Linked DNA regions of Saccharomyces cerevisiae S288C. Each later gene encodes a partner of the first gene's protein in a complex. Each region holds a gene or a part of one and is shown on either strand. Other genes may lie near its edges. A codon is read from its position in the direction of its gene.

Evidence for each region. The genes of interacting proteins can lie anywhere in the genome.
Region 2: the proteins of ATG7 (region 1) and ATG10 are in contact, whole or in part, in a crystal structure (PDB 4GSK), measured with the Saccharomyces cerevisiae proteins. Residues at the interface, in NP_012041.1 of Saccharomyces cerevisiae: Lys14 (codon at 1,743), Phe16 (codon at 1,749), Leu17 (codon at 1,752), Asp18 (codon at 1,755), Thr19 (codon at 1,758), Asp47 (codon at 1,842), His49 (codon at 1,848), Asn50 (codon at 1,851), Ile51 (codon at 1,854), Pro52 (codon at 1,857), Lys53 (codon at 1,860), Ser54 (codon at 1,863), Pro59 (codon at 1,878), Phe61 (codon at 1,884), Arg65 (codon at 1,896), Asn71 (codon at 1,914), Asn72 (codon at 1,917), Arg74 (codon at 1,923), Lys94 (codon at 1,983), Arg135 (codon at 2,106), Tyr137 (codon at 2,112), Asn276 (codon at 2,529), Val277 (codon at 2,532), Gln278 (codon at 2,535), Ala282 (codon at 2,547), Pro283 (codon at 2,550), Val285 (codon at 2,556), Val286 (codon at 2,559), Asp287 (codon at 2,562), Leu288 (codon at 2,565); in NP_013058.1 of Saccharomyces cerevisiae: Gln12 (codon at 2,302), Tyr15 (codon at 2,311), Asp16 (codon at 2,314), Gln18 (codon at 2,320), His21 (codon at 2,329), Asn22 (codon at 2,332), Gln27 (codon at 2,347), Asp28 (codon at 2,350), Val29 (codon at 2,353), His30 (codon at 2,356), Leu31 (codon at 2,359), Asp33 (codon at 2,365), Glu34 (codon at 2,368), Lys35 (codon at 2,371), Leu39 (codon at 2,383), Arg41 (codon at 2,389), Glu64 (codon at 2,458), Arg81 (codon at 2,509), Trp83 (codon at 2,515), Ile88 (codon at 2,530), Asp89 (codon at 2,533), Gly90 (codon at 2,536), Ile91 (codon at 2,539), Pro92 (codon at 2,542), Met93 (codon at 2,545), Thr94 (codon at 2,548), Lys95 (codon at 2,551), Leu96 (codon at 2,554), Leu98 (codon at 2,560), Pro99 (codon at 2,563).
Region 3: the proteins of ATG7 (region 1) and ATG8 are in contact, whole or in part, in a crystal structure (PDB 3RUI), measured with the Saccharomyces cerevisiae proteins. Residues at the interface, in NP_012041.1 of Saccharomyces cerevisiae: Gly333 (codon at 2,700), Thr334 (codon at 2,703), Leu335 (codon at 2,706), Leu436 (codon at 3,009), Val437 (codon at 3,012), Asp438 (codon at 3,015), Ser439 (codon at 3,018), Arg440 (codon at 3,021), Arg443 (codon at 3,030), Ala460 (codon at 3,081), Ala461 (codon at 3,084), Leu462 (codon at 3,087), Gly463 (codon at 3,090), Asp465 (codon at 3,096), Ser466 (codon at 3,099), Tyr467 (codon at 3,102), Leu468 (codon at 3,105), Tyr486 (codon at 3,159), Cys488 (codon at 3,165), His489 (codon at 3,168), Asp490 (codon at 3,171), Val491 (codon at 3,174), Val492 (codon at 3,177), Ala493 (codon at 3,180), Thr495 (codon at 3,186), Asp496 (codon at 3,189), Ser497 (codon at 3,192), Asp500 (codon at 3,201), Met506 (codon at 3,219), Thr510 (codon at 3,231); in NP_009475.1 of Saccharomyces cerevisiae: Arg28 (codon at 1,696), Glu37 (codon at 1,669), Lys38 (codon at 1,666), Lys46 (codon at 1,642), Tyr49 (codon at 1,633), Leu50 (codon at 1,630), Pro52 (codon at 1,624), Leu55 (codon at 1,615), Gly58 (codon at 1,606), Gln59 (codon at 1,603), Val61 (codon at 1,597), Tyr62 (codon at 1,594), Val63 (codon at 1,591), Arg65 (codon at 1,585), Lys66 (codon at 1,582), Arg67 (codon at 1,579), Pro72 (codon at 1,564), Glu73 (codon at 1,561), Lys74 (codon at 1,558), Ala75 (codon at 1,555), Ile76 (codon at 1,552), Phe77 (codon at 1,549), Phe79 (codon at 1,543), Asp82 (codon at 1,534), Thr83 (codon at 1,531), Leu84 (codon at 1,528), Pro86 (codon at 1,522), Thr87 (codon at 1,519), Ala88 (codon at 1,516), Glu112 (codon at 1,444).

Annotation. Positions count from the first base shown.
Region 1 is NC_001140.6:444,010-448,105, forward strand, and holds ATG7 (Atg7p), read left to right. Parts: upstream 1-1,703; coding exon 1,704-3,596; downstream 3,597-4,096. Other genes in the region: ribosome-binding protein NMD3, read left to right, coding at 1-1,375. UniProt on the Saccharomyces cerevisiae protein: E1-like activating enzyme involved in the 2 ubiquitin-like systems required for cytoplasm to vacuole transport (Cvt) and autophagy. Activates ATG12 for its conjugation with ATG5 and ATG8 for its conjugation with phosphatidylethanolamine.
Region 2 is NC_001144.5:50,664-54,858, reverse strand, and holds ATG10 (E2-like conjugating enzyme), read left to right. Parts: upstream 1-2,268; coding exon 2,269-2,772; downstream 2,773-4,195. Other genes in the region: membrane morphogenesis protein VPS13, read left to right, coding at 1-648; succinate dehydrogenase iron-sulfur protein subunit SDH2, read left to right, coding at 928-1,728; FPS1 (Fps1p), read right to left, coding at 2,912-4,195. UniProt on the Saccharomyces cerevisiae protein: E2-like enzyme required for the cytoplasm to vacuole transport (Cvt), autophagy and nucleophagy. Acts as an E2-like enzyme that catalyzes the conjugation of ATG12 to ATG5.
Region 3 is NC_001134.8:78,955-82,955, forward strand, and holds ATG8 (ubiquitin-like protein ATG8), read right to left. Parts: upstream 1,778-4,001; coding exon 1,424-1,777; downstream 1-1,423. Other genes in the region: NUP170 (Nup170p), read left to right, coding at 1-813; isoleucine--tRNA ligase ILS1, read right to left, coding at 2,089-4,001.

The DNA of each region.
Region 1 (4,096 bases):
TGAAAGATTTTTGCAACCACCTGGACAATGGATCAGAGCAGAATTAGAATCTAGAGAATTACTGGCCATTTGTTTGCGTCGTTTGAAGGGCCTAACAAAAGTCAGATTAGTGGATGCTTCATTCATTTGGACAGAACCCCATTCTAGACGTATTAGAATTAAACTTACCGTGCAGGGAGAAGCCATGACAAATACTATTATTCAGCAAACTTTCGAAGTAGAATACATTGTTATTGCGATGCAATGTCCAGACTGTGCCAGATCCTACACTACAAATACTTGGAGGGCTACTGTCCAAATTAGACAAAAAGTGCCTCACAAGAGAACATTTTTGTTTTTGGAACAACTGATTTTGAAACATAATGCTCATGTGGATACCATTTCCATTAGTGAAGCTAAGGACGGGTTGGATTTCTTCTATGCGCAAAAAAACCACGCAGTTAAGATGATTGATTTTTTGAACGCTGTTGTTCCGATTAAACATAAAAAGTCTGAAGAACTTATTTCTCAAGATACACATACTGGTGCATCTACTTATAAATTTTCATATTCTGTCGAGATTGTTCCTATCTGTAAAGATGACTTGGTCGTTTTACCAAAAAAACTGGCTAAATCTATGGGTAACATTTCTCAATTTGTTCTATGTTCTAAGATTTCTAACACTGTCCAGTTTATGGATCCGACTACTTTGCAAACCGCGGATCTGTCACCATCTGTGTACTGGAGGGCTCCATTCAACGCCCTGGCTGATGTGACCCAGTTGGTGGAGTTCATTGTTCTGGACGTGGATTCTACAGGTATAAGCAGGGGAAATCGTGTCTTAGCTGACATTACTGTTGCTAGAACGTCTGACTTGGGTGTTAATGACCAAGTCTACTACGTCAGGTCTCATCTCGGTGGTATTTGCCATGCAGGTGATAGTGTTATGGGTTATTTCATTGCAAACTCGAATTACAACTCAGATCTTTTTGATGGGTTAAATATCGATTATGTGCCTGATGTAGTTCTTGTGAAGAAATTGTATCAAAGAAAGAGCAAAAAGAGCAGACACTGGAAGTTAAAGAGAATGGCTAAGGAACACAAAGATATCGATGCATCCTTAGATTACAATTCAAGAGCTCAAAAGCAAGAAATGGAACGTGCAGAAAAGGACTACGAATTATTCTTACAAGAATTAGAAGAGGATGCTGAATTAAGACAAAGTGTTAACCTATACAAAAACCGCGAAGCAAATGTACCTCCTGAAGAGCATGAAATGGATGAAGACGAGGATGAAGACGCTCCACAAATCAACATTGATGAATTATTGGACGAGTTAGATGAAATGACATTAGAAGATGGAGTCGAGAACACACCCGTTGAATCTCAGCAGTAAAAAAACACCAAAGAATGGAGAGTAGTATATACTCTTAACAAACACTAGCATTTCAGTTTATCTATATACATATATATGGATGTAAAATGTACTTTATGGAAGAACAAGCCACCACATGTTGAAAACTAGATAGGCAAGCAAGATTTTTCATTTGTAGAGCTCTTACGCAAGATTTTTAAACTTCCGCTTTTTTAATCCATGAGATTCCTTTGGACACCCTTTCCGGCACGGCAAAACAAAAAAATTAAGGGAACTCATTATTTTACGATGCTACTTAGATAACTAAAGTTCATTATATTTCAACAAATATAAGATAATCAAGAATAAAATGTCGTCAGAAAGGGTCTTAAGTTATGCACCAGCTTTTAAATCATTTCTGGATACATCTTTTTTCCAAGAATTATCGAGATTGAAACTCGATGTTCTGAAATTAGATTCAACATGCCAACCACTTACTGTGAATCTAGATTTACACAACATTCCTAAATCTGCTGATCAAGTTCCATTATTCTTAACAAATAGAAGCTTTGAAAAACACAATAATAAGCGTACTAATGAAGTGCCTTTACAGGGCAGTATTTTCAATTTTAATGTATTAGACGAGTTTAAGAATCTTGATAAGCAACTATTTTTACATCAAAGAGCATTGGAATGCTGGGAAGATGGAATAAAGGATATCAATAAGTGTGTTTCTTTTGTGATTATTAGTTTTGCTGACCTAAAAAAGTACAGGTTTTATTACTGGTTAGGTGTTCCCTGTTTTCAAAGACCCTCTTCAACAGTTTTACATGTGCGGCCAGAGCCGAGTTTAAAAGGGCTGTTCTCAAAGTGTCAAAAATGGTTTGATGTCAATTACTCAAAATGGGTGTGTATACTGGATGCAGACGATGAAATAGTAAATTATGACAAGTGTATTATTCGAAAAACTAAAGTTTTGGCGATAAGGGACACTAGTACGATGGAAAACGTCCCTTCTGCTCTAACCAAAAATTTTCTCAGCGTGTTGCAATACGATGTTCCTGACTTGATAGATTTCAAACTATTAATTATTAGACAGAACGAAGGTAGCTTTGCATTAAATGCTACATTTGCTTCTATTGACCCACAATCATCCTCAAGTAACCCAGATATGAAAGTTTCTGGATGGGAAAGGAATGTGCAAGGTAAGCTAGCACCACGTGTTGTTGATTTAAGTTCATTGTTAGATCCTTTAAAAATTGCTGACCAATCCGTGGATTTAAATTTGAAGCTAATGAAATGGAGAATTCTTCCTGACTTAAATCTAGATATCATCAAAAACACAAAAGTACTACTACTAGGTGCTGGTACACTAGGTTGTTATGTTTCACGCGCATTGATAGCATGGGGGGTTAGAAAAATAACATTTGTGGATAACGGTACAGTTTCATATTCAAATCCAGTGAGGCAAGCGTTATATAATTTTGAGGACTGTGGAAAGCCAAAGGCAGAACTTGCGGCTGCGTCTTTGAAAAGAATATTTCCTTTAATGGACGCTACTGGTGTGAAATTAAGTATTCCTATGATCGGTCATAAATTAGTAAACGAGGAGGCTCAGCATAAGGATTTTGATAGATTAAGAGCATTAATAAAAGAGCATGATATCATTTTTTTATTGGTGGATTCTCGAGAAAGCAGATGGCTTCCGTCGTTATTGAGCAACATCGAAAACAAAACCGTTATTAATGCTGCTCTGGGGTTTGATAGCTACTTAGTTATGAGGCATGGTAATAGAGATGAACAGTCTTCAAAACAACTGGGCTGTTATTTTTGCCATGATGTGGTAGCACCAACTGACAGTTTAACTGACAGGACTTTGGATCAAATGTGCACAGTAACTAGACCCGGCGTTGCTATGATGGCCTCTTCTTTAGCAGTTGAATTGATGACTTCCTTACTACAGACCAAATACTCTGGTTCAGAAACAACAGTATTAGGGGATATACCTCATCAAATACGTGGGTTTTTGCATAATTTTTCCATCTTAAAATTAGAAACTCCAGCCTATGAGCATTGTCCAGCATGTAGCCCTAAAGTTATCGAAGCATTTACAGACTTAGGTTGGGAATTTGTTAAAAAGGCCTTGGAGCATCCACTTTACCTTGAAGAAATTAGCGGTTTGTCAGTCATAAAGCAGGAGGTCGAACGACTAGGCAACGATGTTTTTGAATGGGAAGATGATGAATCTGATGAGATTGCTTAATATTTTGCATATAATAGCATTGGTACATATTGTGGTGCCACTTTCCGTAATTAAGCTACTAAATTTTTGACTCTAACGTTTATAACATTGAATTATTAAAATGATCTTGCTATACTATTTTGCATACATTATTTTTTGTAGTTTTAACAAGAAGACAAATTCTTGACTTTACTCACAAAACATAAACATAAAATGTAATAAAGTCCTCAATGTTCACCGTATTTTTCAAAAAGGATCAGTGAAAGTGTCGGTAAAGCTACCTTTTTGATACTTTCTTTTTATGAGAATAAGTTGTATTTCTTTATTATGTATGATACGGGCGTTCAATCAATACGTTTTAAGTTCGTTGCTGACGGCTAAGAAATTGGTAAGAGGAGTAGTTCCATCAATGTCTAAAGTGATATGATAAAAACTATACGATTTGAAGATCTATGCGTTCACTTCACGTATCCAAGTTTCCCCTCCTAATAATTCACATTAATTTGGCATTCATATCTAAA
Region 2 (4,195 bases), on another chromosome or scaffold:
AACAACAGGAATGCCTTGGCAAACTCAGCGCAATCCTTTGCCAGCACACTGGGAAGCGGGTTGAGCGGAATTGCACTGGACCCATACAAGGCCATGCAAAAGGAAGGCGCCGCTGGTTTCCTCAAAGGCCTTGGTAAAGGTATCGTTGGGCTGCCAACTAAGACAGCCATTGGATTCTTAGATCTTACAAGTAACTTAAGTCAAGGCGTGAAAAGTACCACCACTGTGCTTGACATGCAAAAGGGTTGCAGAGTGCGTCTACCAAGGTACGTGGACCATGATCAAATCATCAAGCCTTATGATCTACGTGAGGCCCAAGGACAATACTGGCTCAAGACCGTGAATGGAGGAGTATTTATGAATGATGAATACCTGTCGCACGTTATATTGCCAGGCAAAGAACTAGCAGTAATTGTGTCCATGCAGCACATTGCTGAGGTGCAAATGGCCACCCAAGAGCTTATGTGGAGCACAGGATATCCTTCCATCCAGGGAATTACATTGGAAAGATCCGGTCTTCAAATTAAACTCAAGTCTCAATCCGAATACTTCATTCCCATCAGCGATCCTGAAGAACGTCGGTCCTTGTACAGGAACATCGCCATTGCTGTTAGAGAATACAATAAGTACTGTGAAGCTATCCTATGATCACATATGAAAGTATATACCCGCTTTTGTACACTATGTAGCTATAATTCAATCGTATTATTGTAGCTCCGCACGACCATGCCTTAGAAATATCCGCAGCGCGCAAAAGGCGGCCTCGCATTGGCCCAATTAGCTCCGGTGTAAAAAGGGCAAACTTATATAAGGGGATTAATGACTTTCTATGAGAATGCCAAAAAATGTTAGGCTAAAGGAAGGGATTGAAAGGAATATAGTTGAGCTATACTTTCTTGAAATACTGGAGTATACATATTTATAGGGATGTTGAACGTGCTATTGAGAAGGAAGGCCTTTTGTTTGGTGACGAAGAAGGGTATGGCTACTGCCACAACAGCTGCAGCTACGCATACCCCCAGATTGAAAACTTTTAAAGTTTACAGATGGAATCCAGACGAGCCAAGTGCTAAACCTCATTTACAGTCATATCAAGTGGATCTGAATGACTGTGGGCCCATGGTACTTGATGCGCTGTTAAAGATCAAAGACGAACAGGATTCTACCCTAACTTTTAGAAGATCATGTAGAGAAGGTATCTGCGGTTCATGTGCCATGAACATTGGCGGTAGAAACACGCTAGCTTGTATATGTAAGATCGACCAGAACGAATCCAAACAACTCAAGATCTATCCATTACCCCACATGTTTATTGTCAAAGATTTGGTACCTGATTTAACTAACTTCTACCAACAATACAAATCTATCCAACCTTACTTACAGAGATCATCGTTTCCAAAGGATGGAACGGAAGTGCTACAAAGTATTGAAGATCGTAAGAAACTGGATGGTCTTTACGAATGTATTCTGTGTGCATGCTGCTCTACTTCATGTCCATCGTACTGGTGGAACCAAGAACAGTATTTGGGCCCTGCCGTGCTAATGCAAGCCTACCGTTGGCTAATTGACTCTAGAGACCAAGCTACAAAGACAAGAAAGGCCATGCTAAACAACTCCATGTCATTGTACAGATGTCACACCATCATGAACTGTACTAGAACTTGTCCAAAGGGCTTGAATCCTGGTTTGGCTATTGCTGAAATTAAGAAATCTTTGGCATTTGCCTAGACTATCAGAAAAACAGCTAGCCCCGAAGAACTCAGAAGCCTCTCAAATGATTTTGGCACTAATAAAAGCACCAACTATTATTATTATTATTTTCAAGGACGAAACTCACCATTCTCACACATTCCTATACGTTAGGCGTTTATGTTTACTCTCTATGACTATTATTTATTTATCATTGGCAATGCTATGACCCGGTCTGTATATATGTCCATCATAGGCGACAAGGTGTTCTAGTATCTTCAGGTATTGTTGTTTTTAAGGATGAATTTATATCTTTGTTTTTGAAGGGCCTTTTGGCTTCTCTCCCCTATTTATTCAATTTATAACTATTTATTATATTAATACACGCGTAATGCTTAAGGTTTATTATTAAAGGACTGTTTTTATATTTACATGCCTGTAGTTAATTATATTTTCGTTGTGAAATTTCTGTTAAGAAACTCTATATGAAAGGTAACGAACTTAAAATTGAAAAGCAATGAGAAGAGAACACCATGAAAAAAAAAAAAAAAGGGCTAAAAAACAGAATTATCAGACTTGATGATTCCTTACCAGGAGTGGCATAGCCAACTGCAATCGTTGTATGACTCCCAGATTTTCCATAACTGGGCCCTTTGCCAAGATGTCCATTTGAATGATGAAAAGGATGGACTTCTTTTGCGTTTAATACCTACTCGACAACTGCAGAAAAATACTGAGCGTATAGAAAATAAATTACTAAATCATATAGAATTATATCTTACATATTCAAAAGTATATAACGAGCCCTTACTACTTTTGCGAATATGGGAGGAGAAAAGCATAGATGGTATTCCAATGACCAAATTGATGCTCCCAACTGATATCGAATCGCTGCTTGATGTTCAAGGCAAATTCCAACTAGGTTTGGATACTATCATTAACCTGGAAGGTAGCGTTTGGTATTCTTTCCATCCATGCGATACATCATGTATAGTAGGTGACCAGGCTGAGTTCATGTCAACTTACTTAAGACGATGGGTCAGTATTTTCATATTTAGTTGGTTAGGTTATGAAGATTCATAGCTTAACCTAGGAAAGCTTTTTAAAACACTATGCAATCATCTATGTAAATATATATATATATATATATTATACCGGCGGTAGTAAGCAGTATTTTTTTCTATCAGTCTATATTATTTGTTTCTTTTTCTTGTCTGTTTTCTCATGTTACCTTCTTAGCATTACCATAATGCGAATCTTCTGATGATGTGTCGGATAACCCAATAGAATCAGTCGTCGTCGCACCTAGCGAAGCAGTTTCAATGGAATCTTCTTCTTCAAGAATTGTTGGTATACCACCAAACGTTCTTTTGCCGCGCTGAACAGATTTAAATTGCACTTTCTTTTCTCCTGCTTCATTTTCGTTGTCTGAAATAGATGACTTGGTCTTTGTCTTTTGAAGAGCCATTCTTTCTCCAAATTCCTCATCATCATCGTTATTGTATGAGAAGTCACTCAGGTCCGATGTTCTTCTTGCTCTATTTCTCTTCTTCCAACCAGGCCTTCTAAACCAGGCTCTCATAATCATTTCCTTATAAACTGGTAAAGACCAGTTGACTGGAGATTCATGACCCTGATAAATACAGACATCGTAAACCAACCCCCCCATTAACGCACCAATAAATGGGCCTACCATGGGAACCCAAAAGAAATGATGATGATGCACCCAAAGCATTTTATGATCAAATCCAACTGCATATAGTGCAAGACGTGGGCCCAGATCACGAGCCAAATTCATTGCTGTACCTGTCTGATAAGCCATGGAAGCATTGATAATGAAAATCAAAATAAACATCATCAATGGGAAAACATCAGAGGACAAACACGTATAAGGATCGGTCAGCGCAAATGTTCCTGCTTGTAACATAGCTCCACATAAAAATTCGGAAAAAAATTGCCGTCCTGAACTTAGATAAGGCTTTGGAAAAACGCAAAACATTCCCGCAACACTTTCATTCATCCACCAATCGCTATATGCCTCTTGTAACACCCTTTTGTACCAAATAAACAAGATCAAAGCGCCTGTGAAGGCACCGATCAATTGTCCAGCAAAGTAATAAGGAACTTTCTTCAGGGGAAAACCTCTATACACCAAATTGGCTAATGTAATAGACGGATTCAAATGAGCACCTGAGATGGCACTACCACCAGCGCAGAAATAGCCCATCACCACGGCAGCAGCCCAGCCCAATGCCACATCATCAAAGGTACCGCCCGCAACGGATGAAACCAAGGATGTTAAACTCTTCATAGCGTCTATCGTTTCTGCAGAAGACCCGGTAACGTTAAGGTTATCCAAAGCCACGTTGAAATTGTCCTGCTGTATTTTCCCAGCAACATTGACCTGACAAACAACAGCACTACCGAAAATAATCATAACCATTGTTCCCATAAACTCGGCTAAAAATTCCTTCAAATAAGTGTTTTTGACGGAAGACCATTTATT
Region 3 (4,001 bases), on another chromosome or scaffold:
ATTGAGTTTCTTTCACGCGCCAATGGTTTTTGCAACAGTGTGTCACCATTAAGCCAGAAACAAAGAATTGTACAATTAGCTAGTAGGATCCAAGATGCATGTGAAGTTGCTGGTATTCAAGGTGATATATTGTCGCTCGTGTATACAGACGCAAGAATAGATTCAGCCATTAAAGATGAGCTGATCAAAACTCTAGATGGTAAAATATTGAGCACAAGTGAGCTGTTTAATGATTTTGCTGTACCCTTAAGTTACCATGAAATTGCCCTATTCATTTTCAAGATAGCAGATTTTAGGGACCATGAAGTAATTATGGCCAAGTGGGATGAGCTATTCCAATCTTTGAGGATGGAATTTAATAATACCGGAAAGAAAGAAGATTCAATGAACTTCATCAACTTACTGTCTAATGTACTGATTAAAATTGGTAAAAATGTTCAGGATTCTGAATTCATTTTCCCCATTTTCGAACTCTTTCCCATTGTCTGTAATTTTTTCTACGAAACACTACCTAAGGAACATATTGTATCAGGGTCGATAGTTTCTATATTCATAACAGCGGGTGTTTCTTTCAACAAAATGTACTATATTTTAAAAGAACTAATCGAGACATCAGATTCCGATAATTCCGTATTTAATAAAGAAATGACCTGGTTAATTCACGAATGGTACAAATCGGACAGGAAATTTAGGGACATTATTTCCTACAACGATATCATTCACTTGAAGGAATACAAAATTGATAATGATCCAATTGAAAAGTACGTTAAGAACAGCGGCAATAATTTGGGGATTTGTTTCTACAAAGAATAAAAATTCATGTTCGACATATAGATAGCAGGGTAATGTACGTGTATATTTTAATGTAATAAAGAGGCCTTACTAGACGGTAAAGTTAAGAATATCGAGTGAACTTTTCCTTAAGATAAAGGTAAATATAGTCGAGTATTTATTTATTATTCTTTTCCACTATACAGTATTTAAAATTCTGTAAGAAATTGATTCTACATACATAAGACAAACGAACAGGTCAGAGAGAATCAGATTTTTGGTTAGCAAGAATACATTTTGGAGAAGAAAGACATTAACTCCACCTTACTGTATCATCTTATTTGCTTTTTCACTCCTTCCTAATATTTTTTTTATTTTATTTTGAATTTCTTCCTATTTCTGATGCATTGAACAGATCGTAATCTGTAAGTAAATACCATAACGTGCTCACATTTGTCTCCAAATACTGGTGAAATCTTGGCTCCGTTGTGTACAAAACTTCTTAATGAATATATATATATTTTTCCCTTATTTTATCTTTTTTTTTCGAATTTTTTATGTAAACATTCTTATACTGGAACAATAGATGGCTAATGAGTCCCTATAATTTCGATTTTAGATGTTAACGCTTCATTTCTTTTCATATAAAAGACTACCTGCCAAATGTATTTTCTCCTGAGTAAGTGACATACAAAAACCCGTCCTTATCCTTGTGTTCTTGATATATGGCAGACATCAACGCCGCAGTAGGTGGCAAAGTATCATTGACAAAAATGAAGATGGCCTTCTCAGGGGGTAGCATAATTCTCTTTCTTATAACATAAACAAATTGCCCTACGGTAAGGTCAGCAGGAACTAGATATTTACGCTTATCAATCTCTGGAATATCTGACTTTTCAGCTTTTTCGCAAATCACAGGTATCCTATTCTTGAACCTGTCAGCAATCCTCTCCGACTCCGCCTTCCTTTTTTCAAATGGATATTCAGACTTAAATGTAGACTTCATGTCTCTAGTAATTATTTTATTATGATTTTCTCAACTTTACAATTATTAGATTCTCTTATCAATCCCCTCCTCAACCTTTAATGGTTCCCCTTTTTGTATTTCCATAATTATACCAAATATTTTTGCCGCCGCCGAAAATAACCGGCCTCCGGGTGATGATATATCATGTGCTATGATTTCACGGGTATTATACAACATTATCGGTGGAGACAGTTAGCATTACATGACTCTAACTTAAACGTAAACTTACACATATACATCTATATCACTTCGAGTAGAGAAAAATTTGTACGTATTTATATGAGTTGTTTTCATAATTTGAACACTTTTAATTTGAAAATGGTGTCATTAATAGATTGTTCTTCATCACCAATTGGGTCTGTCTTTGAGCCGTCATATTTGGCAATGTCGGATCTACAGGTCTTGCTTAACATATCAAAATGTTCTTTGACAATGGCTTCAAAGTCGATAGTATCTTTAACTAATTCGTACTCCACTAAAACATCGTCGGTGGCTTCCAAACCACACTTCTTTCTCAATTTTTGGATTCTGTTGACCAGCTCTCTTGCGAGACCTTCACTCTTTAGTTCAGAGTAAATATTTGTATCCATGATGATTAACACGTCTTGGTCGGTTCTGGTTTCTTGTCCAGCTTGGACAGCAGATTCTGGCAAGCCTCTAATAGCATTCAAATCTCCTTTAACCAGTTCAATACCGGCAACCTCCAACTTTCCGCTTTCCAAATATTCCCGTACTTGCTCAGAAGTGACTGATGGTAGGGCATCTTTAACCTTCTTTGCGTCTTTTTTCAACTTCTTACCCAATACAGGCCAATCAGCAACTGCTTTATACTCAACACCATATTTTGCCTCATCGGAGGTGATAACAACATCACGAACATTTAATTCCTCGATAATGTAGTTTTTCAAGGCTTCTACATCCTTCAAGTATGATTCATCACTGTGAAGGATGACCAAAGTCTTCAATGGAGTTTTTAAGGAAATAGTTTTCTTTTCACGAATGTTTCTACCCAAATCGATAACGGATTGCATTCTAGAAACTGCAGTTTCGATGGCCTCGTCAAAGTATTCTTTCTTGACCACTGGGTAAGATAAGAAATGGACTGATCTTCCGTCCTTACCGTATTTTGCTAAGACAGCTTCTGGGATGTATTCCTTCAGTCTCAAATAAATGCTTTCTGACAAAAATGGGGTGAATGGAGCCATGGCACGGACAAATGTGAATAAGGCATCGAATAAAGAATTTAATGCTTTCAAACAGTCCTCAACACCGTTTTCACCCTTCAAACGACGACGATTAAATCTAATATACCAGTTTGTCAATTCATCAATGAAATTCAAAAGTTTTGGAACGACAGTGTATAATTTGTACTGACCCATTTCTTCGTGAATGAATTGTACTAGAGATTGCATAGAAGCTAAAATCCATCTGTCCATGACATTATCACTTTTCACAGAATCATCATATTGGAAGTCGATGTTAGACATCTTTTTCAACAAGGCAATTTGACCGTCCAAAAATTTAAAGGAGTTCCACCATGGTAGTAAGACCTTTGAAACAACCTCCTTAACACCCTCTTCTTTGAATTTCAAACTTTCAGCTTTTAAAACAGGTGAGTTTATCAAGTACAATCTTAATGCATCCGCACCATATTTGTTCAGAACAATGGATGGATCAGGGTAATTTTTCAAGGATTTAGACATCTTTCTACCATCGGCAGCTAAGACAATACCAGAGACGATGACGTTCTTGTATGGAACAGAGCCAAATAGATGGGTACCTAAGACAGCTAACGTGTAGAACCAACCTCTTGTTTGATCCAAACCTTCAGAGATGAAATTAGCTGGAACTCTTTCGTCAAATTTTTCTGTGTTTTCAAATGGATAATGTTGAGAAGCATAAGGCATAGAACCAGATTCAAACCAACAATCAAAAACTTCTTCAATTCTCTTTAAGTCACCCTTACCTTGCTTGGATGGAATTGTCAATTTGTCAATGACATCACGATGCAAGTCAGTGATGTTACGCACACCGGTCAATTCTTCCAATTCTTTGATAGAACCAACACAGACGACCTCCTCAAAATCGTCTGAAACCCATAAAGGAATTGGAGTACCCCAATATCTATTTCTGGAAACGTTCCAGTCACGGGCATTGGCGATCCAGTTGGCGAACCTCTTTTCCTTGATGGTGTTAGGAACCC